Caenorhabditis elegans: one gene and its partners. The protein of the gene in region 3 interacts with the protein of the main gene of each other region in a pairwise test. Each region holds a gene or a part of one and is shown on either strand. Other genes may lie near its edges.

The links. Proteins that work in one complex are often made in the same cells at the same time.
Region 1: the proteins of lin-10 (region 3) and nhr-6 interact in a two-hybrid assay, tested with the Caenorhabditis elegans proteins (one large-scale study listed by BioGRID).
Region 2: the proteins of lin-10 (region 3) and F35H12.5 interact in a two-hybrid assay, tested with the Caenorhabditis elegans proteins (one large-scale study listed by BioGRID).

The regions. Positions count from the first base shown.
Region 1 is NC_003281.10:3,571,923-3,579,271, forward strand, and holds nhr-6 (Nuclear hormone receptor family member nhr-6), read left to right. Parts: upstream 1-1,658; 5' UTR 1,659-1,776; coding exon 1,777-1,818; intron 1,819-1,928; exon of another isoform or gene 1,929-1,935; coding exon 1,936-2,001; intron 2,002-2,225; coding exon 2,226-2,328; intron 2,329-2,371; coding exon 2,372-2,454; intron 2,455-4,269; coding exon 4,270-4,347; intron 4,348-4,394; coding exon 4,395-4,546; intron 4,547-4,686; coding exon 4,687-4,881; intron 4,882-4,947; coding exon 4,948-5,237; intron 5,238-5,282; coding exon 5,283-5,440; intron 5,441-5,487; coding exon 5,488-5,848; intron 5,849-5,925; coding exon 5,926-6,047; intron 6,048-6,258; coding exon 6,259-6,468; 3' UTR 6,469-6,849; downstream 6,850-7,349. Other genes in the region: C48D5.3 (TIL domain-containing protein), read right to left, coding at 6,960-7,102. UniProt on the Caenorhabditis elegans protein: Transcriptional activator that induces gene expression by binding to the NGFI-B response element (NBRE) 5'-AAAGGTCA-3'. Required for proper morphogenesis of the spermatheca and the spermatheca-uterine valve formation.
Region 2 is NC_003284.9:916,669-920,677, reverse strand, and holds F35H12.5 (uncharacterized protein), read right to left. Parts: upstream 2,282-4,009; coding exon 2,234-2,281; intron 2,085-2,233; coding exon 1,947-2,084; intron 1,893-1,946; coding exon 1,587-1,892; intron 1,545-1,586; coding exon 1,465-1,544; intron 1,156-1,464; coding exon 1,070-1,155; intron 1,023-1,069; coding exon 607-1,022; 3' UTR 501-606; downstream 1-500. Other genes in the region: pifk-1B (Phosphatidylinositol 4-kinase beta), read left to right, coding at 187-371; Presenilin sel-12, read right to left, coding at 2,519-2,787, 3,210-3,416, 3,466-3,549, 3,611-3,930, 3,976-4,009.
Region 3 is NC_003279.8:8,115,979-8,121,456, reverse strand, and holds the start of lin-10 (Protein lin-10), read left to right. Parts: upstream 1-2,142; 5' UTR 2,143-2,143; coding exon 2,144-2,294; intron 2,295-2,939; coding exon 2,940-3,178; intron 3,179-3,777; coding exon 3,778-3,867; intron 3,868-4,075; coding exon 4,076-4,127; intron 4,128-4,590; coding exon 4,591-4,814; intron 4,815-5,478. UniProt on the Caenorhabditis elegans protein: Required specifically for the determination of 3 vulval precursor cell fates P5.p, P6.p and P7.p during late second and early third larval stages; required for basolateral localization of receptor tyrosine kinase let-23.

The DNA of each region.
Region 1 (7,349 bases), on a different chromosome or scaffold from region 3:
AAAAAGTATGAGAGCAAAGGATAGGTCTACAAAATTGCCCCATCTAACTTTTTTCGTTTAAAATTAGTGTAAACTATAGAAAATGATGTACCTGATTATTCGAAAATAACAAATATTTTAGCTGAAACATATTAGAAAATTCTCAAAAATAACCTGGAAATTGCCATTCATCCATTATCGAATTGTCTAGCAATTGACAACTTCTAGGCTATTTTGAGCATTTATTCAAATGTTTTAGCTCAAATAAATGCTATTTTCAAATTAATCAAATAATCAAATCAAAATATTTTGGTCTCATTGCACCTGGTGCAATAGGACATTTTTTAGAATTAACGCCCCTCATTTCTCTCAAAAACCGATTCCTCGAAAAAAATTTCCTAACTCAAATTTTATCTACAGTCTTATGCAACAGTGCATTGCGAAAGATTTCCTAATGCTCCCACAAACCGCAAAATTTTTTCTCAACATGTACGTTTTTCTTGTAATTTACAGCTTCCTTCCTACTATTTAGCATATTTTTCCAAATATGTTTTCTGATACGCCTTGTTACTCACAGGAGCTAGAACTAGATAGACAAACCAATTAGAACATCCCCCCGGAGGTTTGTATGTTTTTCGGAAAATGATCCATTGTTCAGATCAGTTATGATGTGTCGTGAGATGGGCGGGAGGAAGTGATATCATAAGTTCCCTTTACGGTTTCTGGTATATAATAATGCTCATTTAGTCGTAGAAATTTATTGTTCCGACTGTTCCGGAAAGATAATTTTTCTGTAGATCATTTATGCAAAAAATATTTTTCACTTTTGCATTAGTTTTTGCGTAGCACCCAATTTACCGAACAACTCTCCTTATCATGAAAATGCCCTTGAAATGACTAAATAATTTCACCGGTGCACATACTTTCTATTTTTTCCTTTTTTTCCATTGTCTAGAGCAGCAGCTGACGCAATTTTCCGACCTTTTCACACTTCCCACTCTGCATGCATTTTTGGATTTAAATTGTCTACGTACAAAATATCTTGCACCTGTGATGAAGTCACAAACTAGCTCAGAGATTAATTAGCTCTAGACATAGATGCTAACTGATGGGTTTGCAAGTACCTATGCCTACCTGCGTGCCTTCAACTCCCCTAATGCAGATAACAGTAGCCGTAGGTCAGTTGTAGGCACGGCAGCAGGCATAGAAGTTAACTGTTACAGTAACCACTCACCTGTACATTGGGATCTCCTCATTGATTTTGAGAGCTGACCTACATAGTATATCGAAGCGATTCGATCGCTAAACTCTGAGCTCACAGAATTGGAAACAATGAAAAAAAGGCTGATTCTGCTTTTAGAGTGACCACTTCTAATTTTAGCCGGCCCGGTGGTGTCGTCAAAATTCCTTTCCTGAAATTACGTAGATAATCAAGGCGCGGGCAGGTGAATATTCCATTCAAGACGGGCAAGAACACATGTTGTTGACTTTTTTAGTGTTGCTGCTCGATCAGTTGTCACAGTGTCAAATCACCTGCACATGTGCATTTTTAGGTGCTTCTGATGACGCGCCACGAGCTGCTACTCCGCCTTCTCAATTGTTTGACACTATATAATTCCCGATCGTCTCTCTCTCTCTCCCACTCACCCAATCTGAAAATTCGTTAAAATTCTGAACATTTTCAGATTGACCACTACTAGAGCTCTTCTCTCACTTCTTCTTCATCTTTCTTCATTCAAATCTTACAACTCCTTATATCGACCGCTCATTAATCGGATGCGCGGTCTGTCCGACTGAATGGAACAACTTAGTATTCAAACGGACGAGTTGCAAGATCAGGTACCCTAACCTATTTCTTTTTTTTTTTGAGTAGGCGAACTGGCAGGTGTACCAGAAAAACTGTTAAAGTTCGGTGGAAAAGATATGTGGTAAATTCTATATGTGGTAAATTTTCAGTTTTCCAACTGCTCGCCAGCTTCTGTCGATAGTAGCTACTCATCCTGCTCCAGCGTGGAGGACGAAGTAAGTATTCTTATTCTCATCTTCTGGAAGCCTAAACAAGATTGGGCTTATGCTTAGGATTCGGCTTAGGATTAGGCTTGGGCTTAAGAATTATAGAAAAAAAAATACAAAAATTGCACAATCCCAAAAAAACAGAAAACTCAAAAATCATGTGCCCAGAAACAACGGAAAATGAGATATTACAAAATCTGGCAAAAACTTTAATTTAAATTTTATTTTTTAAGATCGAAATCTACACACGCCTCGTGCGTAACGAAGAACCTCTGCGAAGGGACTTCTTCCGCGAGATGTCGAAAAACTCTTCGTGCTCCTCATCATTCGACTACGGTAATTCACAAAATTTCCATTTCTTCCTAATTATTGGTTTCAGGAGAGTTTGGACCATCTTCCTCGTCTCGCAAAGGCTCCAAAACCACCGATGCCGACCTCGACAGCCTTTTCCATTCTCTTGTGGTGAGCTCTTTTTCCAAGAACTTTTTTAAGATTCCCATGAAACCTTTTTTTTCAAATCTGTGGGAGAAAATTGGTATAATCCTTTTCTGAGCTATAATTTTTTTGAACTTTTTTCCGGCGGTAAAAAAAGGTGTGAGTGGGAACATGTGAATAATATCACCCGACTCCTCGTTTCCCACTTCATTTCAAACTTGGCATCCCCTCTCAACACAGTCATTGTTTCCTGTCGAATCACCCTGCACTTTCCCAACACATTTCGTGCCCGCTTATTAGAAAGATAATTGGATAGGTGAGATCACTTGTAGAGAGAGCCACGAGTGGTGTTGGTTGGAGAGAAATATTTCTCGTTTCAAATTCATTCTACAACTTTTCCACCCAACTAGTAGTAGTCTTTCTCTTTCTTTTTTTTTGGGTGTTGGCGCAATGGTATTTGCCATTAGTCATAGAGACAGTAGCAGCAGGGGTGGGACCCCTAATGCTAACAAGTCACTTGTACCAAAATGTCATTCATTTATTAGTAGTGTTTCTTTTGATGTTGCTGCTTTCTTTTTTGGCTACTGTAAAAAGTAGACCATTTTAGAAAATTTGGCAAGTTGTTTAGAAGTTTTTGGAAGTCGACTATTTTTTTTCACTCAAAATCAATGTTTCAACCTCTAAAAAATTTGAATTCTAGAAACTTTTTAAAAAAATTCTAATTTTTCCCACTGCTCAAAATTTATGAGAGTCTAGAAATGTAAAAAAATGTATCAAAAATCCCAAAAAAAAAACTAGAGTAGCCCCCCACAAAAATGGCTCCGAGTTTCTGAATTTAGACCCAACTTTTCATTGAAAATTACTGTCAAAATCAGGAATATATGCATATTGATTTATCTGAAAATCAGATTTTGCCCACTTGAACCATTGGAAAAAATGCTCGAAAATGGCCTTTTCAACAAGTATGATTTTTGATATTTTTGACCCATTTTTAGCATTTCTCAATAAAATCGCCCTGCATTTTTAAGGCTTTAGAACGTTTTTGGAGCTCTCGAGATAATTTCTTTATTTCTAGTTTGCTTAGCCATGTAGGCGGTAATTTTTCGAGGACTACAACAAATATTTTCAGCCCACAGGCTCTGCGTCATTTTAGACCAGAGAAGAGTACAAAAAGTTTAGCTCTCATAGCTCTTTTCTTGTTTTCTGCTCCAAAAAAACTCTTAACTTCCTCACATAAACAGTCCGAAAACCCGAAAAATATTTAAATGCTGGCTTAACCTTCAGTTTTGCTCAAACACATACACCCACTATCATCCGGCTAATTGATAGATACACGTGCCATTTGGCTCCCCCTTCAGTCCTCTGTGTCCACACCAAAATTTGGCATGAAACACCCCGCAATTTGTCGTCTTTCTTCTTCCTTTCATCCATCTCGAAAACTCTTTACTTTCGATTTTGATTTGATGGTCTCTCTGGGAAACCTGTTTCTATTATATCCTCAAAGTGTCACCTCTCATTCTTTTTTGGCTTCTGTCAGCGACGTCGTCATCACTCTTAGGTGGTCTCGGGGCGTGGACTGACATAATTCCTCGTGTATGCTCTTTTGTCGCAGCTAATGCTCAGGGCTCTGGACTCCGCCCCTTGAAATTTTCCTGGGCAGCCGCCTAATCAGCTGTTTGATAGAAGCGCACTTTTCATATATTCATACTTACTTCCCCCCTGCACCCTACAGTTATGATGAGCAAACGGACAGCTAGCAAAATTGACAAGCCTGTGGTCAGGCTCGGAGATGATCTTAGCGGACTTATGGGCTTTATAAAGTCTGAAATTGAAAGTTTGCAGGAGACAAGCGATCAGGTGAACACTGTACCAAAGCCCACGAAAACCGAAGTCGAGAGTATCCCCGAAGAATTCGAGCAGGTAAGAGCTTCATTCTGCACACAATTATAAACTTTTAATAATTTCAGAAACCATCCTCCTCCAGTCACCGTTTACCATCCGAAATGAACGCCTCAATCACCCATATCAAAAGTGAACTTGACCCAACTATGCAAGCATTTCAAATGCCACACAACGATCTTTTCCTGGCAACCGCCGCACCGCATTACAATCCATTCGCGTAAGTGTCGTCACAGATAACCACGTGTGAATTACTTTTGCTTCGTGTTTTCTACGTAGTACATCGAGCCGAGGATTAACCTCCATTGAGAGCATAAGCTGGTGCTTCCACGAGAGGATTTCTATTGTTTCTTCTTACAGACTTTCGAATGATTTCATGCCGAATCCCTTGATGCCTTCATTCACATCTCCATTCTATCCTCAACACTTTCCGGTATCGGATTCCAGGCGTGGAAGTCAGGGGACAACGAGCTCGTCGAACAATACCGGCGGAACACCATCGCCTCATTCAAGCTCTCTGCCAACGTCACCCCCGCAGTTGCAAGGCTTCTTAAGGTTCGTTTTTGAAATTTGAAATTTGATATTTTAAATTTGAAATTAAAAAAAAAAGAAAACTTTCAGATCCTTCCTCAACCCCGACAACCTCTCCACACCAACCTCATTCGGTGTCCCATCGGAAACAGCTCTTGACGCTGACAAAATGTGCGCTGTGTGCAATGATCGAGCTGTTTGCCTGCACTATGGAGCCAGAACTTGCGAAGGATGCAAAGGATTCTTCAAGCGAACTGTGCAGAAGAACTCCAAATACACTTGCGCTGGTAACAAGACCTGCCCAATCGACAAGCGATACCGTAGTCGGTGCCAGTACTGTCGCTATCAAAAGTGTTTGGAAGTCGGCATGGTCAAAGAAAGTAGGTGTACCCTTTGGGAAATGTTCATTATTTGTGATATTTCAGTTGTTCGACATGGTTCTCTATCGGGGAGACGTGGACGTTTGTCGTCAAAGACGAAGTTGGCAAGATCAGAGGATCAACCATCTCCACCGCTTCCTCTTCTAGCTTTGATGGGAAAAGCAATTGAAGATCATACAAATATGACTGTTGTCCGGCAATTTGTAAGTCGGAAATTTAGCATTTCTTTTGGAAAATGTTTATCATTTAGATGCAACCATTCGATGAGACTATCGCACTGAGAATCCTGCACGGAGAGCTTCATGCCACCAAGAAGCTTCTCATGGCAATGCCACAAATTTCCGAGATTCAGCCAGCCGACTTCCAGATCCTCCTCAGCAGATCTTTCTTCGCAATCATGGCAATCCGCGTGGCAAACCGATGTGGCAACAGCACCGACACAATTATGTTCGAGTCTGGAGAGCTTTTCTCGTTGAACGCGTTCCCTGCCTGCTTCCAACAAATCATTCGATTCATGGTTGACAAAGCACGAACCTTCAGCTCATTGGTTGACTGGGAGCCTCAGGCATTCGCCGCCTTTATTGCTCTTCAATTTTTGGCTGGAAACACAGGTGTGTAGAATTTAAACCCTAAAAAGCTTCAGCAAAGTTTATCTACTCCTCATTTCATAATTTCAAAATTTTTTCAGAACATAACGTACTTGGATTGACCAACAAACCTCTCGTCGACCAGGTTCAAAGTACCATCATCAATGCTCTCAAGGATCATTGCAGCGGATCTCAGAACAAATTGGCCAAGATCGTTAGATTGGTAAGTTTGTCATTTTCAACGTGTGACGTAGAATCTAGCGGGGAAGCCTTGTAACACGCTTTGAGGGCAAAATTTGCACGCTTCTAATGCTAATCCATGTCTGCCAGGAAGCAAAATTTTTATTTTTTATTGAGGGTTGCACTGAGAGCAAGTATTCCAGACTGACATGCAAGTAGGATGTCTAGTATAACACTAACTATTCAATTTTCAGACCCAAGAATTCGATGTATTCCATGCTCTTGGACTCCAGGCCCTGGACATTCTCTATCCATCACACCAGCTTCCAGAAGAGTTCATGTTCCTTATCAATCTTACACGTGCTCCATTACGATCTACGGATGCACCGCCAGCTTGTGGAAGCCCAGTTGCCCCATCTGGAAGTTCACTTTTTAACTTCCAAATGGGCCCGGCTGCCTTTTAAAATTTTTTAAATGTTTAAAATTTTAAAAATTTAAAATTAATATATTTTTCAAAATCGCTAGCCCCATTGAATTGCATATCGCAAAGATTTCTAATTTATTTTGTTTCCCCACTACTGTCTCAAACAAAAAATCACTTCCAGAAAAATTTCAAATAACTTGTTACCGGTACTTTCCCAACAATTTTTGCTCCTTGAACCTCAAATCTCTCAGAATTTGTCCCCCCATTCGGTTTTTATTTTATGAAAAGCCTCTAGTTTTTGTGTGAATTCCAATCCCCGAATATCAATTTTGTTTTGTTTCAATTTTCAGAGTTTATTTATTTTAACTGATATTTCTTGAAATTATTGTATAGAAAAAGAAAACCATAAATTATATATTTTTACATTGTTTCATTTTATTACAAAGCACCGGAGAGAGAGGGACAAGAATACTGTGGGGAAGGGGTATACTGAAGTTTAGAGAGCAATTCCTGGAGAAAAAGGTCTGAAGCTTAACAAAAATTATTTCGCATTTGTCGTTTGTTACGTCTCATGTACTGGAACGCGGTTTTCAGATCGGTTTTCAGCTCGCAGCGGCTGAATCCACGGTCGTCAATGATGGGCTCCGGATGAGCAAAGTCTGGGCACTTCTTCCCTGAAATTTGAAGGTTTTTCGAAGTGAAGAAGGCATGTGTCCCCTCAAATAGAAGTGTGTGACGTCACACGTTTTAAGGGGCATTGACCTACTGTATCATAATTTACGCGCAAAGTTTCTGTTCTGGACTGTGCTGAACTTGGTTGAACCGCGGAACCCGCGAAACGTCCGTGCAAGAACAATCGGGACATTATTTCCTTTTAATATTAAAGTTTTCAAAATGTTAGGGTTCGCCTCAAACTGTTCT
Region 2 (4,009 bases), on a different chromosome or scaffold from region 3:
AAAAACAGTAGTGCTGTGTGAAGTAAAGATTCGGTTTTAACTAGTCCAAAATAAAAGTTTAATCTTTATCACTGTGCCGCAGAAAAATTGTTCAGTGGTTTAAGCTTGTGAAAAACCAAAATATTAGCGAAACTCCGTAAAGAGGGGGTTTTTCAGTTGTTTGATAATTAACTAAAAAAGTTTCAGGATCAAAAATGCAATGCTTCCGTGCTGGCGCAGAGACTGTTCGAGCTCTAGAAGCTAGATTCCATGTAAGCAGCACTGACGAGCAGCTCCAACAACTCGTCGACACGCTTGTAGAAGGTTCTCGGGATAGTTACACAACACGGTTTTACGACTCGTTTCAATATTACACAAATGGAATCCATTGAGTCCGGTTAGGTATTTACTAGTCTTTCAAATTGGTTAAGAATCTCATATCGCTTATTCTTGTTATTGTGATGAAAATTGAATGCACATGAATGAATTGTTGTCAATTAAAAAAAAATCACTTTTTCATATTCTAAAGTACCAGTTTATCAACTTGCTGGCAAGGCACACAGAGAGTAACAATCGAAATTCATAATTCTATCCATCAAACTATATGATCTAAATTTACACATGCATCTAAATTTTGGTATCGACTTCTTTGTCAGCATCAAAAATAGAATCCACAACTTCTACAATAAACTCGGGATATGTCTTCTGCAGAAAGTGACCTTCTTCTTTGAAGTTTGCTGTGACAAATTGTTTTCCAGTTGTAAAGCTTTTCCTGGCTTCTTTAATAGCTTTTTCCGCGTCTTGTTTGTTGGAAATTACATAATGATCTTCTTCAGAAAAGTACATCGCAACTTCTTCCGATTGATGCTCATCAATTAAAAAATCCTTAGATCCGTAACCATAGAACGCGCGAATTCCAGGTTTTGCACGTAGATCGTCAATTGAAAGTTTTTGCTCGTCAAAGGCAAAAGTTTGCATAGGCAGAATTGCAGCGGCTGCTACTTTTCCATGAGAAACACGCAAACCGATGAGATTGTTGTAGACTAAAATATTATATTAATCTTTGGAGGGAAGGGGGTGGGGATCTTACAATAATGCAAAATTGGATGAAGGATTGAGTTGATGGTTTTGTTGTGACGTTTGATCAAAGATATAATGAAGTTTATAGTGCCCATTCTGTAAAACTTGTTAATTTCTTTAAATTTTTGAACAGCTAGTTTAGCTAGTTTTCCAAGTTTTGAATTTGCTCATTCGTGGGATGTGGCCACTAATACAAATTACAAATGATTTGTAAAAATTTCAGCTTTGGTTTTCCAAAAATATCTGTTTTAATTAAACCGAAATGTAACCTTTACTGTATTTTCACATTGATATAAACATCGTTTTAAAAGTATTTGCTAAGGAATCAAAGTAGATGAACTGAAGCTGATGCCACAGCAAGCAGTTTTTTCAGTAGGTAGACTAAGGAAAAAATCGGGTACATACCTTTTACTGATTCCTTTATGCGGAGCGAACCCTGGCGAGTTGATCATCACTGCCCCAACCAGTGGCCAGTTCTCATCATTCTGAACATAAGGTTTTATGAAGAAACTTTTCAGACAACTCACCGATAACATACTTGTAAGTTGCAGTGCATTTTCTCCGCCTCTCGAGTGTCCCATTATAATAAGTCGGTTTACATTTTTCAACTCCAGTGTTTCCATTAAACTTTTCATGTACGAATTTCGATCTTGATTTGTATAACTATTGTGCAAGCCACCCGTTACAAATTCCGACCCGGGATAGTTGGTGCAAATTAAGCGAATTTTCTTCTGCTCAAAAAACGATTTCATGTACTTAAAATCGTTATGTGTACCAGGTGATCCTGATAGTGTCACTACGGTTCCTTTTGTGTTTGATGAAGGTGTGACATCCTGAAGCAATAATTTAAAGGTTAATTTTTTGAAAAAAAAAACAAAAAAACTTACTACATATTTTGACTCGACAGTTGTGGTTTCCTCCAGGTTTACTCCAGTCTTGTAGGTAACATTTACAGTTTTGATAAGGTCATTCAAGTCAAAATATTTTGTTTTCCTGTCGGAAAACCCTCTGGTCAGGTCTAGATTCTGAAAGTAAAATTTTTAATTTATCCCAACTTCTGCTACATTTTTAATTTAACAAGAAATTCACTATGTATTTCAACTACTTTATAAAAAATGTTGTTTCACTAATTTTCCAACTTTGGAACTGAATATGTCTACTTACCTTAACTTACCTTTATTATTGGACGAACGTTTGATAAAATATGACGTGAAGAAAACATCTGAAATACTTTAAATAAACACTTTGATGATACTTCTAAAGCAAAAAAGGAATCTGAAGCACCTGTAAGCATAGGATCAAGAATAATGAAAAAAAAATAGCAGAAACGTTTAATAAATTATTTATATAACTTAAATGACAAAGTTCAAAAATAAATAGGTATGTAAAATAAAGCTTTGAGATCGCTCAAGATATAATCGAAAAGTTGATGATGCAAAGAAATGGCAAAAACAGAGAATTAATATAATAAACACTTTTGAGAGACTTGTGTAACAAATGGGGTGATGATCCAGCGGGTACAAAAGTAAAAAATGAGTCCGGAGAAAATGGAAATTGGCAGAGCCGGGAGTGCTCGTTTGAAGACGGCGAGCAGGACAAGAGTGAAGCAGAGACCGATAAGAATGGCCACATAACAAGCGATAGTCGTGTTCCAGTCAAAGTACGATGAAGCCTTGCCGAGGAGAACAGAGTAGAAAATGAAGTCGCCCAGACCAAGTTTCACACCTCCTGCAATCATTTTTTTGTTGCAAAACATATCAAAATATGAAGAGATGAAAAATTATTGTTAAAAAAAATATGAACAGAGGGTTATTGAAGAAATCCTTTTTTTCGTGACTAGCGCAAGTGGCAAGCTTGCAAGTTTATTTGAGATCTTTCTTGAATCTATTAACTGAAAAGTTTTGAACTTTAAATGAACAAAATATATTCAGCTGAGTGGGCGGCATTGCTCTTCAAAAGTTGAGAAAAATTGAAACAGTGAAAAAAAAACGAATGAAAATTGCAGGGGGTATTTCGATACCGAACGTAGACGGCAATATTTTCGTTTTGTGCTGTCAAGAAAAAACATTTGAGTTAGAAGTGAGAAAGTTCGAGTAAAATTTGCGAAAATACATCCCCTTTTGCCCTTTTTCAGCACGTTTTTCACTCACTCTCTTCCTCTTCGTGCCTGTGAAAATTGGCGTCTTGTACAGTTGGTCTCTCAGCAGCTAGCTCCCGTTCCACCCTTACTCCAGAGTTTTGTGTCGTTGAAGCTGTAGTATTCGATTCGATTTGCACTTTTTGAGGAATTCGTTTCACTTTTGGCCGTTTTGGCGTTTCAGATGAACAACTCGCCTCTCCAGGAAAAGCTGTAGAAGCTGAAATTAGTTTTGGAATAAAAATTCGAAAATTTTAGGTGATACTCACTATTTGAGTCTGACGACGTCGGTTCACGGGGGTCTGTCGTGTTTTCAACTGCAGTAACAAGAACGTAGGGATAGATGACTCCAGCTGAAAATGTTTTAGAATTTGAAACGTCATGAATATTAATTCCATAAATTAGGAAACTTACACGAATAAATCAGCGCCGGGAAAATTGGCTCGTTTCTCTCCTGTGCAGTTTCCACCAAATATCTCAATGGTCCTTTTGGTGTGAGCACGGCAACCAGATCCCAAACCGAGATAACAAACAGCACAAACCACACAGTCCATTCTGGTAGGTACTTGATAAAGACCAGAGCCATTAGTGCAGACATTGTAATAAGGTAGAACTGTTGCAGACGCAATGGACCTTTCCAATGTATACACATCATTCCGAGAACTCCATAGTTACCCAGTCCAAACAAAACCAATAGTGCGCTGGGAGACACATCGAAACTTTTCAGAACTTCTCTGCAACATTGATATTTTTATGAGAATAGTAATATATCAACTTACTGCACATAGATTGTAGTGAATAGGAAAAGAAGAA
Region 3 (5,478 bases):
TTCAAGCATTCCAAAGACCATGAGTGCAAGCTTGTGCACTTTTTCAAATGACACTATCTGACAAAATCACAAAAAAGAAATTGCAATAAATTAGAGAATGTAGAGAGAAAAAGCTGATAAATTGACGTCTTTCTGGTGACTCATGTAAGAGGAAAAGATGAACGAAAAGGATTAGTATGGGATATTGTTGAGGCGATTGAAATAGTTTTAAATTTTGATGAGTAATTGAGAAACGAATACAGTTATTAATTCAAAATATTTGAAAGTTAAACGTAGAGTAGTGCCAAACTTCTCAACATTTTTTAACTTTGAACTAACTTTGAACGGAATTTTCGGCTTGAACTCTAATCTCAAAATTGAAAAGTTTACTTTTTTGCCATCTATTCCGCAATAACAGTAAACGTGAAATTATTCACACTTTTTTCCATCTTTATATACTCTCTCGTTCATCTACCAGTTTTGTATTGTCCATTCGTCCATCACAAATTCCCATTCATCCCGTCATCTGGTGTATTCTTTCCGTTTTTGATACTTTTTTGTCTGTGCCCTGGAAAAGAGTTGGATGGAAAGAGAGAGTGAAGGAAAACGATGGAAAAGAGCAGAATTAGCATAATTATGACACTTTTTCTCTCGCCTCTTCCCTATTTTTCTCAACCCCGCGCTGCTCGAATGAGAAACGTCTCGAATAGGTTTTAAAGCTTCAACTTTTTACTGTTCTAATGTTTTCATTTATTTCCAAGAATTTAGTTGATCATTCACGATTCCCATGGCTTAGGTCAAAAATTAGAAATACTTTGCGGAATTCTATCACAATGCAGTTATATTTTCACATTTTTAGAACTTGTCCTAAAATACAAGAAGTTATCTTTATTTTCAACATCTGGAAAAAATTCGTTTTCAACATCTAAAGCGACAATTGGAAAATTGTCAATTGAAAGTCATTTAGTTAGCGGCTTACATTAATACAATTGTTTGGTTAAACATATTTTTCAAACGCCCTCAAAAGTCCAAAAAGCACTCGATATTTTGGAGATTAGCAAGCACGGCATAAAAGAAACAGCAAAAAAAGAAAACGACACGTGTCATATATTTGGCTGAGAAAGTAGGGATTAGAGTGTCGAAGAAACATGACAAATGAATTGGCATTCAGAAGACGTGCATACATGGCACGACATATTGCTTCGGGAACTCCTTACACTGCATTTTTTGGTTTCCTCAATGTATATTTTGTTTCACGATCAGTCTCCGCTTGTTGTTCTTTTTTCTTATGCTCCAGTGGGAAAAATGTTAAAAACTACACCTATAGTGCACCCATGATGAAAATATCATTCTAACACTTTCCAACATTTTTTGAAAATGTTATATTTACATTAATAGCAATTAATCAGTTTCCACCTATCATAATTGGTCCAATACATTGTTTAATTTTAAGTTCGCTTCAATTATTTACAAGTGAACCTAGAACCTAGGTCTTCGCATTTGCAGCATTGCTCTAAATTAATGAAAAACTCCAATTTTTTTAATTGGCAATTTACCAACATTTTCATTTGAAAGTATTTTATTTAGATATAATAATAATAATAATTTATTACGCTCGCTGGGAGACGTGAAGGAATACAGAATACAAAAGTTATCATTGTTCGCTTGTACTAGAATTGGTGCAGTCGGGCAATTGTTTCCATTCCATTAGAATGTTGTCCTTGTCCTTGCGTTGTCCTTGCGTAGACTCCCCCATAGTGGGCGAGCGATTCCCGAGTGAAAATATGTAGATTTTTAGATATGTAGATATGTAGATATGTAGATTTTTTACTACATAATTGTAAGTCTGTGTAGATTCGAACTCCATGTTGTGTTACAGTACTTCCGAACACGATCTTAAAACTTTTTGAGCATCTCCCATTTTCTCATTTTAGGAAAAAATTTAACTTATAACTTCGAGGTGACAATTGTTAATTCTAAATTTTCCCACGTTAACTCTCTCTCTGTCTGCTTCTCTCTTGTCCCTCTTCTTCATCGCTCTAATTAATTCGCGTGTGAGACGAGAGAAGAGCATCCAATAATCCATGTCCTTTTCCCGCTTCCTCTCTCTTTCCCTCATCTTCCTATCTATTTTCCATCGGACCATGAACAATTCTGTTGCAGGATGTCATCTGAAGCAGTAGCACAAGCCACAGCCGCCACGACGTCTCCTGAACACGGGGTCCCCACATCATCGGCCACGCCTACTCCTCCGCCGAGCAAAGGGGGTGGAGCCGGTGGTGGTGGGGGAGGAGAGCAACAACAAGTCCCATTTCGTTAGTTTTACAAGAGATTTTGAATTAAAGTGTAAACAAATATACCAGACTTCAAGTTTTTTGAGTGTCATTTTTCAAATTTAGATGGTGTGTTTAAATATTCCCGGATCTTCAAAAATCTGATGTTTAGATATTTGAAAAAGCAAGACAAAATCAAATCAGTTAAAAAAAATATGAAAAAAACACAATAACACAGAAAAAAGGCTCTGAAATCCAGATAGGTTCAGTCTGATTTGCCAGCCCTAGTAAGACTATATTAACTTTTCGTAAGGAATTGCTCCTTCGTTTTGGTCAACCTTTCCTCAAATATTTTCACTCGAAGAATAAGAAAAAATAGAGGGGATATTATTGTTTTTCGAACCTTCTCGATTAAAAATTCCCTGTCTTCTCCTCTTCTTCTTATTTTTCCCCGCCGCCGCCTGACCACAAAAATAGGCTATTATTCATATGGCTGGACGTCTTTCATGTTGCCTTCCCTACAAAAATCTATTTTACACGGAAGTATAAGAAAATATTTTAAATATATTGCACTAGGAAACTTCTGTGCACAGAATGAAAATGTATGACATTGGTTATTTATATTTGCTTACTTAACACAATTAAAATAGGAAAAGCTTGTTCTTCAATATATTCGATTTTTTACAGAAATGATCCCTCCTGGTCATTTTTTCGCAAATCCCTTCTTGAATCCGTATATTCCAACAGCGGGTGCTCCTGCTCAGGAGGGTGAAGCTCAACCTCAGATGGTATTCTCTCCAGCTCAATATCAGGAAGTCATGCATCATTATTTTCAACAAATGATGGCCGCGAGTGGAGCACAGTTTCCGATTCCGTTTCCCATGCAATTTCAGCCGGCTCTTCAACAGCCAAGACCTTCTTCTCAGGTTTGTTTTATAAAGCGTTATTTTACAAAAACAATTGAAACACTGTCAATTTTTCATTAGAAGCAGTTTTTAAAACTGGGGTTGATAAGCTTTAAAAAAATGAAGGAAATGACATTAGTCATCAGAAAATGTATGTTTCGCAATTTTGGAACATTGTTGTACAACTAGAAAAGTTGCGAAATTTATTTTTGCAGAAAGAACTATTTTTAGAGCTCTCGAAATTGTTTTATTCACAATAAAAACATGTGAACTGGAAAAACCATATAATTTTCTGATTTGGCGAATTTGCCACAATATAATAACCTAAGACATTACATGCTTATTGGATGTTTGATGATGCATGGCTGACACCCGCTCGAGGCGTGTGAGAGGCGCCTCCGTCACTCTCTGCCGGCTAGAAATTCTAATTTTGATGTAACCTAGTCAAGCTCACAAGAAGTTCACAAATTCTTATTACAAAGTTATGCTTCTGCATTGATGCAGAACAGTATTTGATATTTCTAGACATTGAAATAGATCTAGAAATATATTACCAAAAGCAATGCATTTATGGCTCCCAAAATTCTCATCTGCACTTCATAACCTTCAAGTATTCTCAGGCATCATCATCTCATCGCTCAGAAGACGATAACGGAAGGCAGACAGCTGGCAGTGTTGTGTCCTCTAATGTGTCACCAAATCATCGAGAGGTTCGTTTACGGCAGAGCCCAAACACTTGAACTCACAAGCAAAACGCTGGAAATTAGGCGAAGTGATGACTTGGGGAGCTTCTTCATGTTCTTCCTGTAGCTCTAAAATAAATAAATGTGGTTCGGGAATTTAAAAGATAAAATTTTAAAAAATGTTCATTAAAATATACTTCTAGTTTAGAAATCAAACTCAGTCTTTAATTTTTAGGTGAGACCAGCAGAAGATTCTACGGAAACAAGCGGCGTTGTTCAAAATAATGGTTAGTTGGTTTTTCACTTTTAGAAATTCAGGCCAAATGCCAGAAGATCAGTCATTATCTCAAACGTTTGGCGTACAGTTTTCACAGAACGTATTAAGTTTCCTTCTTCGTCTAGTGGAATGTAAAACTCCAACTTTAAAAATTTCGAATAAATTGCATTTTCCAAAAGTTCTTCAGAAAATCTTCAAAAAAGATCCAGCATGTATCTCATTTGTCACAAGTGAGCATGTAACACGAGAACATTTTGGTGAGAAGAAGAGACAAGAGAGATATCTCTGCGTCTCTTATCATCTCACACTCTCTCTTTTTGCTCAGCCGATTTACTAATTGTTCCATGTCCGAAAGGAGTTGTACGTCTCCCACCATCATGTCTGGACGGAACTTAGAGACCACACGAAAAGTTGAAGGGATTTCCCCTGAACATTTTTCTAATTGTCAATTTTCAAACCTAAATATGTTTCAGATGAGCTTCTTGTACCAACTTCCACGTCATCCGATGTGACAATTGGTGACGTCATCGAAAAATCAGATTCTCCTGAAAATTCGCAAGAATCAGCGGGAGGAGAGGAGAAAAGTGAAGAAAAGCGGAAATTATCCGGTGATCGAACGGATTCACTCATTCGAAAACAAATGAGTGAAATGGAAAAAGAGATAACACGACGATCACAGAATAAAAATATTAAAACGGTATGTCGTTCGGTTTCGGAATTTTGAGAATTAATTCTTGAAAAAAAAAAGTTTTTCACTGAAATCTATGATCAAAGTTCCTAAAGCCAAATGTGAAAAACTCAATTTATGGAGTCACATAGTATGCGCATAGAATGTGCAAGAAACCTCCAACTTTCCCAAAAATAACAACTGTTTTCGAATATTTGGAATATGCCAAAACTTTGACACAAATTTTTGAAAAAACCTGAACATTTTTGGCTGTTGTTTTATTTCGATAGACCTTTTTTCTTTTAGACCTTTCTACATGTTTTGGCAAAATTTCCACTGGCGCTACACCACTTTTAAACAATAAGCATTAGACCATTAGAACTGTGAACTTTAGATATCGAGGCCAACAAAAATTCGAATATTTTTCCCTTTGGAACAATTGTCTCTTTCTGCACATCCTCGTAACAAATCAAATAATCTAATTTTTGTCTATCTACAACTCTCTTTTTCTACTAAATCTTTTTTGGAGACTCCTGCCCAATTTCACAAATGCACTCACTCACTTCTTCTTCTCCTTCCTTTCTCTTATTTTTTGGCCCATTTTCCACTCACTTTTTTCCATCAAAATCCTCGTTTTCCGAATTTAAAATATTGATTTTCATTCAAAAAAATGTAGAGTCAGGTTTGCTATTTA